3 linked regions of the Macaca mulatta genome follow. The protein of the gene in region 1 binds, or shares a complex with, the protein of each later gene. Links are inferred from orthologs where the notes say so. Each region holds a gene or a part of one and is shown in the gene's direction. Other genes may lie near its edges.

What was found. The genes of interacting proteins can lie anywhere in the genome.
Region 2: the proteins of SIRT3 (region 1) and ACSS1 are in contact, whole or in part, in a crystal structure (PDB 3GLT), measured with the Homo sapiens proteins. The link is inferred for Macaca mulatta from reciprocal best matches to the Homo sapiens genes SIRT3 and ACSS1. Residues at the interface, in NP_036371.1 of Homo sapiens: Gly145, Ala146, Gly147, Thr150, Pro151, Asp156, Phe157, Arg158, Ser159, Glu177, Phe180, Gln228, Asn229, Ile230, His248, Ile291, Val292, Phe293, Phe294, Gly295, Glu296, Pro297, Leu298, Gly319, Thr320, Ser321, Leu322, Glu323, Val324, Glu325; in NP_115890.2 of Homo sapiens: Ser640, Gly641, Lys642, Val643, Met644, Arg645.
Region 3: the proteins of SIRT3 (region 1) and SFN are in contact, whole or in part, in a crystal structure (PDB 8ANC), measured with the Homo sapiens proteins. The link is inferred for Macaca mulatta from reciprocal best matches to the Homo sapiens genes SIRT3 and SFN. Residues at the interface, in NP_036371.1 of Homo sapiens: Arg99, Arg100, Ser101, Ile102, Ser103, Phe104, Ser105, Val106, Gly107; in NP_006133.1 of Homo sapiens: Asn42, Ser45, Val46, Lys49, Arg56, Lys122, Asp126, Arg129, Tyr130, Pro167, Gly171, Leu174, Asn175, Val178, Tyr181, Glu182, Leu218, Ile219, Leu222, Asn226, Leu229, Trp230.

Annotation. Positions count from the first base shown.
Region 1 is NC_133419.1:99,889-105,243, reverse strand, and holds part of SIRT3 (NAD-dependent protein deacetylase sirtuin-3, mitochondrial), read left to right. Parts: intron 1-4,013; coding exon 4,014-4,175; intron 4,176-5,355.
Region 2 is NC_133415.1:59,088,328-59,094,359, forward strand, and holds the start of ACSS1 (acetyl-coenzyme A synthetase 2-like, mitochondrial), read left to right. Parts: upstream 1-2,459; 5' UTR 2,460-2,496; coding exon 2,497-2,827; intron 2,828-6,032. UniProt on the Homo sapiens protein: Catalyzes the synthesis of acetyl-CoA from short-chain fatty acids. Acetate is the preferred substrate. Can also utilize propionate with a much lower affinity. Provides acetyl-CoA that is utilized mainly for oxidation under ketogenic conditions.
Region 3 is NC_133406.1:214,121,518-214,126,090, reverse strand, and holds SFN (14-3-3 protein sigma), read left to right. Parts: upstream 1-2,463; 5' UTR 2,464-2,528; coding exon 2,529-3,275; 3' UTR 3,276-3,300; downstream 3,301-4,573. UniProt on the Homo sapiens protein: Adapter protein implicated in the regulation of a large spectrum of both general and specialized signaling pathways. Binds to a large number of partners, usually by recognition of a phosphoserine or phosphothreonine motif.

The DNA of each region.
Region 1 (5,355 bases):
AGGCATTGAAGGATATTTAGGCAGGAAAATGATGTGAAGGGATTTGCATTTAAAAGAGATTATGAGGGGCTGGGCACAGTGGCTCACACCTGTAATGCCAGCACTTTGGGAGGCCTAGACAGGCAGGTCACCTGAGGTGGGGAGTTTGAGAGCAGCCTGGCCAAAATGGTGAAATCCCATCTCTACTAAAAATACAAAAATCAGCTGGGTGTAGTGGTGCACCTGTAATCCCAGATACTCAGGAGGCTGAGGCAGGAGAATCGCTTGAACCCGGGAGGGGGAGATTTCTGTGAGCTGAGATCGCACCACTGCACTCCAGCCTGGGTAACAGAGTGAGACTCCATCTCAAAACAAAATAAATAAATAAATAAGAGAATAAAATAGATAATTTGGGCAACAAGTTGTTTTTTTTTTTTTTTTTTTGAGACGGAGTCTCGCTCTGCCGCCCACGCTGGAGTGCAGTGGCCAGATCTCAGCTCACTGCAAGCTCCGCCTCCCAGGTTCACGCCATTCTCCTGCCTCAGCCTCCCGAGTAGCTGGGACTACAGGCGCCCGCCACCGCGCCCGGCTAGTTTTTTGTATTTTTTTAGTAGAGACGGGGTTTCACCGTGTTAGCCAGGATGGTCTCGATCTCCCGACCTCGTGATCCGCCCGTCTCGGCCTCCCAAAGTGCTGGGATTACAGGCTTGAGCCACCGCGCCCGGCCACAAGTTGTTGTTAATTCCCCGCCTTTGTTCTCCTCCTTCAGTACTGTGTTGGCTGTTCTGAATCTTTTGCCTTTTCATGTAAATTTCCGAAACTGTTGCTATCTGTTCTCTGCCTGTTTTATTTTTGTTGTTGTTGTTTGGGTTTTTTTTTTTTTTTTTTTTTTTTTTTTTTGAGACAGAGTCTTGCTCTGTCGCCCAGGCTGGAGTGCAACGGTATGATCTCGGCTCACTGCAACCTCCGCCTCCCAGGTTCTAGCGATTCTCTTGCCTCAGCCTCCTGAGTAGCTGGAATTACAGGCGCGTGCTGCCACGCCCAGCTAATTTTTGTATTTTTAGTAGAGATGGGGTTTCATCTCTACTATGGGGTCAGGCTGGTCTCGAACTCCTGATCTCGTGATCCGCCCACCTCAACCTCCCAAAGTGCTGGGATTACAGGCATGAGCCACCGTGTCCAGCCTCTCTGCCTGTTTTTTAAGACTTTTGTCTTTGGAGTTTTGCAGTTTCTCCATGCTGGTTTTCCATATGAATTTCCTTTGATTTCTTCTGCGTAAAATTTGTGGGCCAGGTGGGCGCAGAGGCTCACGCCTGTAATCCCAACACTTTGGGAGACCAGGTGGGTGGATCGCCTGAGGTCAGGAGTTCGAGACCAGCCTGACCAACATGGAGAAACCCCATCTCTACTAAAAATACAAAATTAGCCGGGCATGATGGTGCATGCCTATAATCTCAGCTACTCGGGAGGCTGAGGCAGGAGAATTGCTTGAACCCAGGAGGTGGAGGTTGTGGTGAGCCAATATTAGGCCATTGCACTCCAGCCTGGGAAACAGGAGAGAGACTCCATCTCAAAAAAAAAAAAAAAAAAAATTGTAGACCTTCCTTGAGAAAAATAAAATACAATTCTAGGCCAGGCGCGGTGGCTCATGCCTGTAATCCCAGCACTTTGGGAAGCTGAGGCGGATGGATCACCTGAATTAGGAGTTTGAGACCAGCCTGGCCAACATGGTGAAACCCCGTCTCTACTAAAAATACAAAAATGAGTCACGTGTGGTGGCACCCATCTGTAATCCCAGCTACTTGGGAAGCTGAGGCAAGAGAATTGCTGGAACCCAGGAGGCAGAGGTTGCAGTGAGCCGAGATTATGCTACTGCACTCCAGCCTGGGTGACAGAGTAAGATGCCATCTCAAAAAAATAAAATACAAAATAAAATTCTAAGCCCTGCAACCAACTGAATGGACCCCTCCCCTTGGTCAAGGGAACCCCAGAGAAACCTTGGAAGTCAGTTCCTGGCCATAGCAGGAGGGGAGGTCAGATGCGCCTCATTATACCCCTCCCTCCCCAACCACCATTAGGCTTTCTTCACTAAGGGCTAAACAGAAACCAACACTTTTCAAAGACTCCATACTGCTAATGTGGATTACTGGCTTATCTTCCCAGATACAGATCAAAGGCAAGATGAGATGAATGGTTCCTTCACCCTTCCCTGAGAGGTCTGCTTAGTTCTCTTCCTCTGTTTCCTTCTGTCACTTCCTGAAGTCTCACAAGTACTTAACCATTCACCTCACAGCCACCCTCCCCCTTTGAAGGACCACGTATAATTACTAAACCTCCTGAGAACCTCTTGGGACAAAACCACAGATGTGCTTGTGACTCATGTTTTTCCTGTGGGCACCCTCATGCTGGCTCAGTAGCCCTCGCTTGCTTGAGATCCTGAATCTGTGGGTTGGTGTCTTTCATGGTTGCTGGATAATACTCGGCTGTTATCTTGGGATATGCATTGCCCCTGGCCCACTATCTGGCCCCTCTCTTTAGGGACCTCTGATTGAACCTACGTTAGTCCTTCTCTCTCCTGCTGTTCCTGATCACTCTTCTGTTCTTTCATTGCTCCTCCTTGTGCTGCGTTCTGGGTGATTTCTTCTGGTCTTTCTTCCGGTTTGCTAATATTGTGTTTTCTGTTATAAAGTCCTTCCATTGAGTGTTTGCTGCTTTCTTTTTTCCCAAAACCAACTCGAAACAGACGTTGAGCTTTAATTTTTTATTTCTGTACTTTTTATTTCTAGAAGTTCTGTTTGGTTATTTTTCACGTCTGCTACATTATTTTTTAATAGTTTTGTATCTTTGATAGTTTTTTTTTTTTTTTTGAGATGGAGTCTCACTCTGTTGCCCAGGCTGCAGTGCAGTGGCGCAATCTCAGCTCACTGCAACCTCTGCCTCCCTGGTTCAAGCAATTCCCCTGCCACAGCCTCCCAAGTAGCTGGGATTACAGGTGCGCACCACCACGCCTGGCTAATTGTTTGTGTTTTAGTAGAGACAGGGTTTCACCATGTTGGCCAAGACAGTCTGATCTCCTGACCTCATAATCCGCCCACCTCGGCCTCCCAAAGTGCTGGGATTACAGGCCTGAGCCACTGCGCCCGGCCTTTAATAGATTTTTCAAGTTCGTCTTTTTTTTGCTTCCTTAATTTTTTTTTTTTTTTACTATACCCCATGCCTCCAAGATAACAGTTTTTTCTTTTTAATTTAGATATAATACAGTTTTACTGTGTATCCAAGATTATCTGAAATCTTTTGTGGGTCTCTTTCTTTTGTCTTTTGTTTCTGTTGCTTCTTGCTGGATTGAGCCTGCTTAAAACAAGCCCCGTTAGCGGTAAAGGTTTCCCTTAGAAAGTCAGGTGTCTTCCTCTGTAACTCTCTCCCTTTTCCATCTGCTCCAAGGCATTAGTTTATATTAGTCTTGACTCAGTGAAGTTGTGTCTACTTCACCTTGGCCAGTAGGGAAGCAGTGTTTGGCAGATGTTACTCCTAATAATGCCAGCCAGTGAGTGAAGCCGACCTGAAAGCCTCCCCGGGCTGAGGCAATGGCATGATCACTGAAGCTCAAACCAGAGACAGTTTCACCTTGTGACCGAATGATGTTCGGTGTAGGCCAAATGCCTGCAGACTACTGTTGGAGGACCGGTGTGGTCTACCAGGTGTTTTCTTAGCACCAGAATGTCTCTGGTCACCATCCCAGGTGTAGAGCACGGTGTTAGATACGCTAGATGCCTGCCGAAGTAATAATGGGTGAAACGTATGATGTCCAAGATTTGCTTTTAAATGCTCCAACACCTCCTCCCAGATTCTGGAGGGCTATGACACAATCAGCTGTGAAAACTGGTAATTCCTAAAGCTGGGTACATGGGGGTTCATGATACCTCTCCCACCTTTTTTGGGGGAGAATGTTTGACACTTTAATAAGAACTTGTTGCCTTTTCCTTTTACAGGGTGTTGCAGGTATCTTCCTCAGGCCTGTTTTCTCTGTTTTCCAGGCTGACGTGATGGCAGACAGGGTTCCCCGCTGCCCGGTCTGCACCGGCGTTGTGAAGCCCGACATTGTGTTCTTTGGGGAGCCGCTGCCCCAGAGGTTCCTGCTGCACGTGGTTGATTTCCCCATGGCAGATCTGCTGCTCATCCTCGGGACCTCCCTGGAGGTTTGTCAGCCTGTGCAGGGAGGAGGCTGGAGGGCAGGGGAAGGGAGGGGTACAGAAATCATCTCATGGGCCCTTCTGGGGCTGGTGCCACTTTTGGAAAGTGAGTGGATTCAGCTGGGGTTCCAGGCTGAGGGAACAGCAGCCTGTGCGGGAGACAGGAAGGTAGGAAGCTGCTGGGCTTTGGAGGTGGTATAGGTGCGGGTGGGGCACCACGTGTGAGGAGAAGGGAGGAGGAAAGGGGGCGTCGGGATGAGGTGGAGGGGCAGGCCTCCCAGGTCAGATTAGGAATACTGATGCTGCGTTGGGAGTAGTGATAAATCCAAAGGGACTGGCCCAGGGACGTAGCTGCACCCTTGGGGTCAGAGAGGCCTTTGGGGAGTGGAGAGTGGAGCAAGCAGTGCCAGGAGGCTGGTCCTGAAGAAGGTGGAGCTGTGGTCACCTGAGGGACAGCGAGGAGGGGGACTGGACTTGCAGCCTGTGTTGTTTTGGGGGTGTGAGAAGGAGGCGTCTGGCTTGTTCTGTAAAGTCAGGGCATTTGCTGGTGAGGCGTGATTTGGGAGGGAGGATGCCCAGCTCGGTTCTGTGCATGTCTCAGGTGCCTGGGAAACGCCCCCTGGATGTGGCCAAGCAGCTGTTCTGCATCTGCGTCTGAAGCTCAGGAAATTCCTAAAAGCTGTGATGAGTCACGCAGTGTGTGTGTGACTGGATATAGGCACCAAGGGCAGAAGGGCCAGAAAGACCTGTGCTTCGAGGGGCCCAGGGCAGCCGCAGGGCCCAGAGCGTATGTTTGTTCGGGCCTTCATTGTGTGCTGGGCCCTGCTCCAGTGCTTTCAACATCCACAGTCAGATGTCAGTGTAAGAAGTTATGTAGTTTGTGAGGAGATGATTGATGTTCTGGGAAAGATAACAAGTAGGAAAGAAGGGCTAGGAGGGTTGGGAACCAGCTGCAGTGTCAAGCCAGGCAGGTGGAGTTGGAGCTAAGAGTTTACCAAGGTGAGGGGGGTCTGGCCGAGGACACTGCACAGGTGACAAACAGCCAGGAGGGTGGGGCGACGTCAGCAGTGACGGGCACGGGCTGGAGCAGAGAAGGAGGTGGGGCACAAGTGTCATCTCATGGGAGGCTGGCGCTGCCTGAGAAGATGAATGGATTCAGCTTGGGTTCCAGGCCAGAGCTTGGAAG
Region 2 (6,032 bases), on another chromosome or scaffold:
GAGGAAAGGTCCAGGCGGGAGGTGTCAATATGAAAGTCAGAGATTAGAGAGCTGGTTGCTGTTTCCTAGGGGGCAGGGGAGAAAGGGGGATTTGAGGGCTGAGCGCCTGGGCACTTCAACACTTGGAGGGCAGAGAGAGGAAAGGCACCCAGTACAGGGCACTGAGAGGCAGAAGTCAGTGAGTGAAAGATCCATGCATTTTTCAGCTTCAATTGTTGTATCAGTTACCTACTACTGAGTTACAAACCACCCCAAAGTTTAGTGGCTTAAAACAACAATGTATTCCTTCTACAATTCTGTAAGTGGACTGGGAGGTTCCTTTGCATCCCGGGCGTTATCTGGGGTGACTCATGAGGCTGCCTTGGCTGGGGCGGGAGCCTCCACACTGGCCTCGTTCCTGTCTGGGATTTGGTCCTGGCTGTGCATGGGGCAGCTTTATTCTCTCCCTTGGCCCCTTCCTCTGGAAGGCCAGCCCTGCTTCCTCACAGCTCGCAGCTGGGTTCCATGGGAGGACAAGCTGGGGCTGCAGGGTCTCTCAGGGCCTCCAGGTGGAACTGTCAGAGCATCCCTCCCACCAGGTTGTACTGGCCAAAGCAATACAGCCAGCCAGGGTCCTCCTCTGGACAGAGCAGCGCGCCATCACATGCAGGTATGGGAAGGAAGAGTTGGTAGCCATCTATGTGACCACCTGCTACAGTTAAGAGCTTTCTCAATTTACAATTTTACTACTCACTGACGTCTGCCTCTCAGTGCCCTATACTGGGTGTCTTTAATATTCTATTCAAATGGGAACTTAGGCCAAAGAGCTCCCCACTGGGGGCACTGGGTATTAGTCTTGCTCTTCCCTTAGCCAGTCGAATGCTCTTTAGTAAGCCCTTTTATTTGTTTGGGTTCAGTTTCCTCATTTGTTCCACCTGGAGTTTGACAGTCGGTGGGGGGTGGACAGCACTAGATAAGTTTTAAATTAAGTAGACTAGCCGGGTGTCGTGGCACACGCTTGTAGTTCCATATACTCAGGAGGCTGAGTCAGGAGGATCGCTTGAGCTCAGGAGTTCCAGGCTGTAGTAAGCTATGATGGGAACCACTGCACTCCAGCCTGGGCTACAGACCCTATCTCTAAAAAAGTATCATAAATAAATAAACAAAGGAGAAAATGCAGGTCAAGTGCGAGCATTGTGCAGGGCATGTGTTATGCTAGTAGATGTCACTGATTCTCCAGCCCTTAGGTACATTCCTGTCTTCTCTGGCAGACAGCAGCATTCCCCAGCAGGGGCTGGTGGCTGGCCCACGCAGAGGCTCCTCTAATGGCAGGCTCCTCCCCTCTGCAAGCCCTACAGCTCAAGGGAAAGAAACTTTAACATCAGAAAGAACTCAAGAAACCAGTTTTCCAAAACCTCTCTTCCCCTATGTTTACCCCTTTGTTATGAATTTACTTCTTGGGTGTCGAAATATTTAAGAACTCGGTGGAGACCAGTTTTATACGTTTCCTTCTGTCCTTCCTGGCTCCACAGCTGCAAAAACATCACCCCCACTACTGAGCTTACTATGGGGCCACGCAAGGGTAGACGCTTGACAGACATTGTCTGATGTATTCCTTACTGCAGCTCTCCACCCCCGCCGTCCCTGTCCCCCAGGGAGGCATTACTTCCGTTTCCCCCAAAAGGAAAACGAGGCACCGACAAGTTACGGAACTTGCTCAAGGTCACAGAATTTGAACTCAGGCCACAGATGCTGGAGCAACTGGATAAAGTCCTCATCGCCCCATATCACCCACCACCGACCCCCAGCAGAACGTGACCCCCGCCAGGACGGAGGCCAGCAGCTGGGGGGCTGGAGCATGGGACCCCAGACCACGGACTCAGGCCTGCGCAGCCTCCCGGCTTCTGGGCTCCCCGCCAACCTCCTTCGCATTCCGCTGAGAAGCCAGGGGAGGGGTTCACTCTCAAGGGCGCACAAAGGCATGAAAACCTTACTTCAGCCTCTGAGATGCGGAACTGACCGACCTATCGTCTTGGGACCCAACAGTGCGCTTGGGTGCACCAGCCCTCTTAACGTTGGTACCGGCTCCCTCCCGCCTCCTTCCCATCCCAGAGGGCCCCCTAGTCCTGGGCCGCACGTGCCTCTGGCAGCTCGAAGAAGCTGTCGGGGCTTGCAGGAGAGCGCGCAAACTGAAACCAAAACAGGCCGACGCGAGGAACGTCGGGGGGGGACTGCAGACCCGCGGGAGCACAGCGCCTGGGCCAGGGCCTGGGAGCCTGGGCTCCGCCCCGCGCTCCTCTGCACCCCTTCCCCACGCTGCTCCCCTCTTCCTAAGCGTCCCCCCCTCTCCCGGGCAGCAGAAGGGGTGGGACCCGGGCGGGCTCTGGGAAGGGGCCCTGGAGGAATGGATGGTGGCCGAAGGGCGGAGCAGGGGCGGGGCCCGCGGAGACTCCAAGGGGCGCCCCGGGCGTGAGGCACCCACTCTGGAAGCACAGAGAACTCAGGTAGTCCGGCTAGATGGCGGCGCGCAGCCTGGGCCGCGGCGTCGGGAGGCTGCTGGGCAGCCTGCGAGGGCTCTCGGGGCAGCCCGCGCGGCCGCTGTGTCGGGTGAGCGCGCCGCGCAGGGCGGCCTCGGGACCCTCGGGCAGCGCCCCCGCAGTTGCCGCAGCCTCACAGCCCGGCTCGTACCCCGCGCTGAGTGCACAGGCAGCCCGGGAGCCGGCCGCCTTCTGGGGGCCTCTGGCGCGGGACACTCTACTGTGGGACACCCCCTACCACACCGTCTGGGACTGCGACTTCAGCACTGGCAAGATCGGCTGGTTCCTGGGAGGCCAGTTAAACGTCTCTGGTGAGTGAGCTTCGGGAGACCCAGGTCGCCCCCAACTCTTGCGTCCAGAGGGAACTCGGAGCCTCTCGCCTGCGGCAGCCGTCCCCCGGCTGCGCGGATCGCACCCCTGCAGGGGCCCCTCCTCCGGTATTCCGTCCGTCCCGCCAGCTCTAAGCAGTGGCTCCACGTCACCCCGTCCCTCATCCCATCCGGCCCCAGATCCACGTGCCCAGCTCGGGCCGGTGCCCGCGGGGACCCGGTGGCCGCTTGGGACGCCCCGCTGCTGGCCTTGCTCGGCGCGGCTCCTCGCTCTGCTGACTCCAGAGTTGCGTTACCGAGTGCATAGCGCCGCGGAGCCAGAGCCGGCGGGGAGCCGCGGGCTACACCCGAGCGCCCTGGAGTCGGGACTTTCCCGTTGCTATACCGGGGTGGACGGAAAAACAAAGCGGTGGCGGTTGTCACTGGGGGCTGCGGTGCCCGGGGATCAGCCTGAGGACAAGCCCTGCCCACATAAACAAACAGAGCTGTGGCGGGCGACCTGGGGAGGAGGAAACCCGGCGTGGCAGCTGGAACCAGTTATTTCCTCGCTGCGGGCCTGGGGCCTGTGGGCGGGAAGGAAGTAACAGCGGCCTCCGGGTTCTCGTTCTCGGCCTCAGAGAACTGCACCCCAGCGACCCAAGGCCTGCTTTGGACCCGCGGGGTCTGAGGTTCCCGGTGGTCAGTGGTCTGAAACTTGCTGAGCAGAGGCCTCTGCTGCTCTGCTAAGATTTGGGGCTGGGGGTCGTACACTGCACCCTCGCCCCCACCTAAGGCGCTGACTGGGCAGCGAGGGGGAAGCCCTGAACTGCAGGCAGGGCTGGCCACGCAGGGTGGGTGCCAAGTGCAGGGTGGGCCCTGGATGCAGGGTGGGCCTGGGTGTGGGGCCTGCAGGGAGGGCCTGGCAGACACGGTGTTGATCAGAGGGATGCAGGCCAGAAGAGTGGCCATAACCAGCTTGCTGGATTTGGGAGTGTTTGAGAAAGGACTTGAGGGTCTTTATGGCAGGGTCACCAGGGCCCCATTTTCTCCAGCTCCTCCCTCAGTTATCCCTGTTGTTCTGCCCCCCTAGCCCTCAGTGTCCACATTGTGAGGAGGGGGGCAGTTATGCTCAGAGGTTAGGCTGAGTGCTGCAAGGTATGCAGCAGACCCAGCTCTTACTGGTGACCCACAGGCAGTAGCGATTTTAGTTTAACTGCAGATATAGCCATAGTAGGTAGTGTCTTGGTAGTGTCTTGTAGTTAGTTTTCAAAGAAATTGAAAGGAACTTTGGACCTCCCCCCGATATTGTATATTACTTTGCTGGTTTAATTAAAATGAGTCACTTAACTAGATAAGTGTTTTCTTTAACCTTGAGTCAGCAGCAAGTGCCCTCTAACTACTGGGAAAAAAACCAAACCCTTTGGTTTGCAGAGTTGGTGCAATGTGCCCTTGAAGGGGACTAGAGCAGCTTGCCCAAGGACAGAAATGGAAAGTGACCTGCTCTGGACTTGTGAGGCCAAGGTCATGGGGAACATTCACAGTTGGCCTGTGCACAGTTGCAGCCCCACTCAGATAAGACAGCGGGGCGGACCTCCTGGGGCCAACAGCAAGGACCTTCTGAACCTCGCTGGGTCAGGATCAGGGTGTGGTCAGCAAGCATTCTTCTGTCTCCTTTTCCTTCACTTATTTCTCCTGATAATATGGCCTTTACGGCTACCTTAGCCAGAAATTGAGCTTCAGAAAACTAACTTGAAAAACAGCTTTTCAGCAACTTTCTCCCCGGGATGTGCGTGCCCACCTGTTCATGGGTCAGCAATATCTCTTTCCTTTGTCGGTGTCTGCAAACCATAGTGGGGACAGTATGAAAAAGGGCCAGGCCAGGCCATGACTCCTCTGGGAGCCCCTAGAAAGTCATGGGATAGGTGAGAACACTTTGGCCTGATCTGTCAGCTGTGTGTGATAAAGTCAGATGGCTTGTTCCAAAGGAATATCACTCTTGAAGAAAACTTCATCTCACTCCTTCAAGAATACCAGTGGTTCTCAACGCATGGTCCTCAGACCAGCAGCATCAGCATTACCTGAGAACTTTTGAGAAACAGAAATTCTGAAGCCCATCCTGGATATCTGGAATCAGAAACCCTGGGTGGGACCTGACACCTGTGTTTATAACGAGCCCTTCAGGTGCTCTAGAGGACACTCGGGCTTGAGAACCACTGGTCTGTACGCCTCAAAACAGGGCAGATGAAGGCACTTCTGAAACAGAATTGGGATTAGTGCCCGGCCATGGCCCTGTTAAACAAAGAGCAAACAAACAATGGGCTGTGGATGGTGCAACACCGTTTTGTGGCTCCAGGTGTCTTTAGAATCAGGACTCGGGTTGATTTCTTGCTTTCCCTGTACTGCACTTTGCATGTTTCCTCATCTGTAAAACAAGGGCAGTATGTAACTGAATTATGTCCTAGTTACTATCGATGCACATCAAACCACCCCTAAGCTTAGTGGTACAAGATAACAACAATTTTATATTCCTCGCAGAGTCTGTGGGTCAGAACTTTGGACAGGGCCAGATGGGGATGACTTGTGTCAAAGGGCAAAATTCCGACAAATTTAGTTTAAAGATCTTAATTCACTTTTTTCGTGATTATAGAATTGGGAAACACCTAATTCCATAAAACAGAATGAATGTTTGATGAGTTGAGCAGAGGAGGATGGTTTTATAGACAGAAGGGTCTGAAGAATGCGGACACGGAGAACAAAAAGTGGACTGGTTATTTCAAAGCTACTTTTGCTGTAAAGGTGAAAGTGGAAGGAGCTCCCTTACTATGCCAGCTTGTTTGGAGATCGAGCTATCTCTCACTCTCCTTGTTTCTTAGAAGGCTAGATAAACAACTTAGTTTCCATTTGGTGACACGGCACTTTAGCAAGAGTGACTCCATTTTTGTGTGATCTATTGGGCCTGATGCGGCTCAGTCCAGACCAGTGGCCTCCTATACATTTTATTTAACACTTGCTTCTGCTCCTCAATGTCTGAGGTTGGAGTCATCTGCCTGTTTCTCACTCCCAAGTCTGGGGCCTGGTTTGGGACAACTTGCAGGCTGACTTCAGCCAGACCTGTGACCCAAAGCACCTCCTGGGGCTTGTCACAGCGTGGTGGCTGGGCCCAGGCAATGTCCGGCAACCAGAGGTCCAAGAGACCAGCACAGACACT
Region 3 (4,573 bases), on another chromosome or scaffold:
GGCTAATTTTTTGTATTTTTAGTAGAGATGGGATTTCACCATGTTAGCCAGGATGGTCTTGATCTCCTGACCTCGTGATCCGCCTGCCTCGGCCTCCCAAAGTGCTGGGATTACAGGCGTGAGGCACCGCACCCGACCCATATTCACTATTTATAAATTAGAGAGAATAAGAAAATCAAAAAGACCAGGTGTAGTGACTCACACCTGTAATCCCAGCACTTTGGGAAACCAAGGCAAGAGGATTGCTTGAACCCAGGAGTTTGAGACCAGCCTGGGCAACATGGTGAGACCCTGTCTCTACAAAAAATACAAAAATTAGCTGGGCATTGTGGTGAGTACCTGTAGTCCCAGCTTCTTAGGAGGCTGAGGCAGGAGGATCACCTGAGGCCAAGGAAGTTGAGAGTGCAGTGAGCTGTGATCATACCACTGTACTTCAGCCTGGACAACAGAGTGAGACCCTATCCCAAAAAAAGAAAATAGAAAAGAAAAGGGGAAGCAAAATCAGTCAGTCTCACTACCTCAAGATACCCTCTATAAGCTGGTATTTTCGTGTGGTTCCTATCGTTTTCTACATCAGTTCTCTGAATTGAGCAAAATCTTTGGGCTGTCAAACCTGAAATCCCCTTTACTTCCTTGGAAACCCTGTAGCATTAGTCCAGACATGTCCCTACTCCTCCTTGTGGCAAAAGAGAAGAATCTCATCTTTGGTCCCCAGAGTTCTGGCCTAAGCCTCCCTCTAGGAGGGAAGATGAGTGTTCAGACACTCAGGGTACCTGGGGGAGACACAGGCCTGTGAAATTATCCTAGCTCAACTATTAGGCGGGCAGAATCCCAGTGAAAGGAGCCGTACCCGAGGCCCATCTAAGCTTTGGCTAGGGGTGGGGCAGATAAGCAGGAATCCATCCCTGTAGGCTCAATGCCAACACCCTTTGGTGAAACTCCTGATGAAACTTGAGGCCAGGGCCCCAGCAAGCAGGGAAAGAAGGTTGGCAACAGAGGTCTCCATCTGAGGACTCTGCCAGGGGTCAGAGGTGGGGTAATGGTCAAAAGGAAGGAAGTGGCTCATGCCCATAATCCCAGCAGTTTGGGAGGCTGAGGCAGGAGAATTGCTTGAGCCCAGGAGTTTGAGACCTGCCTGGGCAATGTAGTGAGATCCTGTCTCTATTTAAAAAAAAAAAAAAAAAAAAAAGGAAGGAACAGGGAAACTTCTGAGAGACAGGCTGGGGGAGGCATCACGTAGCTGGGATTGCTGCCCCATAAAACAGAATGGTATGTGTCACTGCCACCTCCCTTTCTCAGTCCTCTCTCTCCCCAGGTTGCTAGCGTCCCCCCTGGGGGATCAAACTGGACTGCTTCCCAGCCTCAGACAGAGAGCAGTCTGAGTCAGGCAGGAAAGTGGGACAGCCGGGGAGCTGGACCCCACCCTCTGTGAACCCCACTGGTACCTGATGGCATGTGGCTTGGAGAGGGCAAGTGACCTGGTGTGGAGGGCCAGAGGGTAAATCCTCAAACAAGTGGCAACAGGCCACCAACTTGAAAGGGAAAATTGTGTAGTGATGGGAAATGTGTACAACAAACCTACTGGGTGACTAATTACAAAGGCTGGGCTGGAGCGTCAGAGGCTGCTTGTTAAACACTTCATTAAGTGGCACTCTGAAAGCTGCCACCTGCGCATTCTGGGAGCTCAGAGGGGACCCTGAGGGGGAGTGAGGCCTGAGGGATGGAACCATCTTCAGGTAGATTGAGAAAGAGCCTGGATCTCACTTCCAAACACAGCCTGGAGCTCATAGGTCAGAGACTTCAACGGGAGAAAAGCTAAAGGAAGCAGGGTGCAGAAAGGAGTTTCAGGGAAGTGGTGGCTATGTGACTTTGAGCAAATCTCACCCCTCTCTGAGACTTAGTGTTCCCATCTCTGTGGTCCTGTGTGTGTCACAGAGACACAGTGGGGATTAAATTCGATGGTGAATATGAAAGTGCTTGGGAAACTCTATGGCCCTACCTAAACATGAGTTATCCTCACCTGAATCAAGGGGAGAAGTTACCTGGCAGGATTGGGAACCCCATCCTCCTGAACCTTTATGGGCTCTGTCGAGGCAGAAGCAGCCAGGGGCTAAAGCCGCCCTTAGCCTCTGTAAGGGCGCTGTGAAGGAGGATCTGATTTGAGAAGCCAGGCAGTTTCCTGATGTGAGCAGCCATATGATGCCAGCCCCGAACAAGAGGGGGCAGCCTAGAGCCTGGAAAGGTGCCTGTGCAGGTGGGGCCCACGCCCAGATTTCTTCTGCTGACTGTTCTGATGACTCACCCCCACATCCCAGCCTTTTTACCTTTACTGCAGAGCCGGAAAGGGTGTGGGGAGGAGAGGAGACGGAGGCAGGTCTTGGGCCCTGGTCCCGCCCCCTGCTCCTCCCCACCCTTCTCTGGGCCTGGCCACCCAGCCAAAAGGCAGGCCAAGAGCAGGAGAGGCACAGAGTCCGGCATTGGTCCCAGGCAGCAGTTAGCCCGCCGCCCGCCTGTGTGTCCCCAGAGCCATGGAGAGAGCCAGTCTGATCCAGAAGGCCAAGCTGGCAGAGCAGGCCGAACGTTATGAGGACATGGCAGCCTTCATGAAGGGCGCCGTGGAGAAAGGTGAGGAGCTCTCCTGCGAAGAGCGAAACCTGCTCTCAGTAGCCTACAAGAATGTGGTGGGCGGCCAGAGGGCTGCCTGGAGGGTCCTGTCCAGTATTGAGCAGAAAAGCAACGAGGAGGGCTCGGAGGAGAAGGGCCCCGAGGTGCGTGAGTACCGGGAGAAGGTGGAGACTGAGCTCCGGGGCGTGTGCGACACCGTGCTGGGCCTGCTGGACAGCCATCTCATCAAGGAGGCTGGGGACGCGGAGAGCAGGGTCTTCTACCTGAAGATGAAGGGCGACTACTACCGCTACTTGGCCGAGGTGGCCACTGGTGACGACAAGAAGCGCATCATCGACTCAGCCCGGTCAGCCTACCAGGAGGCCATGGACATCAGCAAGAAGGAGATGCCGCCCACCAATCCCATCCGCCTGGGCCTGGCCCTGAACTTTTCCGTCTTCCACTACGAGATCGCCAACAGCCCCGAGGAGGCCATCTCGCTGGCCAAGACCACTTTCGATGAGGCCATGGCTGATCTGCACACCCTCAGCGAGGACTCCTACAAAGACAGCACCCTCATCATGCAGCTGCTGCGAGACAACCTGACGCTGTGGACGGCCGACAACGCCGGGGAAGAGGGGGGCGAGGCTCCCCAGGAGCCCCAGAGCTGAGTGTTGCCCACCACCGCCCCACCCTGCCCTGCCCCCTTCAGTCCCCCACCCTGCCGAGAGGACTAATATGGGGTGGGAGGCCCCACCCTTCTCCCCCAGGCGCTGTTCTTACTCCAAACGGCTCCGTGGAGAGGGACTGGCAGAGCTGAGGCCACCTGGGGCTGGGGATCCCACTCTTCTTGCAGCTGTTGAGCGCACCTAACCACTGGTCATGACCCCAGCACTGCTCTCCGCACCGCTTCCTCCCGACCCCAGGACCAGGCTACTTCTCCCCTCCCTCTTGCCTCACTCCTGCCCCTGCTGCCTCTGGTCGTAGGAATTGAGGAATGTCCCGCCTTGTGGCTGAGAACTGGACAGTGGCAGGGGCTGGAGATGGGTGTGTGTGTGTGCGCGCGCGCGCGCCAGTGCAAGACCGACATTGAAGGAAAGCATGTCTGCTGGGTGTGACCATGTTTCCTCTCAATAAAGTTCCCCTGTGACACTCCTCCTGTCTCTCTCCAGTTCTTGGCGATGGGTTGGGAGTGGAACTGGAATCTGATTTAGAGATCCTGACTTTCGACCTCTGAGTTAGGGCCCTGACCTCCCTGCGTGGCTCAGTGACCTGCACGCAAGACTTTGAGTCCAGGTGAGGCCGGGGTCCGGCTGTCTCCATCAGGGCGGCCCCATCAAACTGGATGGGACCGGGAGGGTCAGGTGAACCCACAGGAGGCGCCGAGCCTCCTCTGCAGGGCCGAGGGGAGGTGAGTGGGAGCCGCAGCGCGGGAGGCTGACGAGCTCAGGTGGAGCGGGACAGGAAATAGTGAAGTCTCCGGCATGAGATCTAAGGACAGCGCTGCAGTAGTGAGCGGCACTGAGCACCCGATTTACAGGCGGGTCACAGTCTCATCAAGGGCTCAGATCTCAGCGGAGGGAAGTACGATTTGAGGCAGGGGTACAGTGCCGCCATAAAAGCCCAGATCTTAGGAGAGGGTCACGTCCCAAAGAGTTCGGAAATGGAGACAAAAGGAAACGGGCTGGTGGGGAGGAAGGACGAGCTGGGTGGGAATGGCCGCTGGGAGCGTTGCCTACCGAGCCCGCCGCCTCCGCTCTCTGCAGCCAGCAACACGCCGGAACCTGCGGCCGCATTGCTGGGTCTCGCCTTCACAGCCAGGACTGGAGGCGGGGCCCGAGGCTCTGCCACCCAATCACAGGAGGGAGCTGCCCCAGGGTACCACCCCGGGGGGCCCGACGAGCCAATGGGAAACTGAGCGGCGGACCGCGCGCGGCGAGTTTCCCGCCGCCCGCCAGGCCTGGCGGAC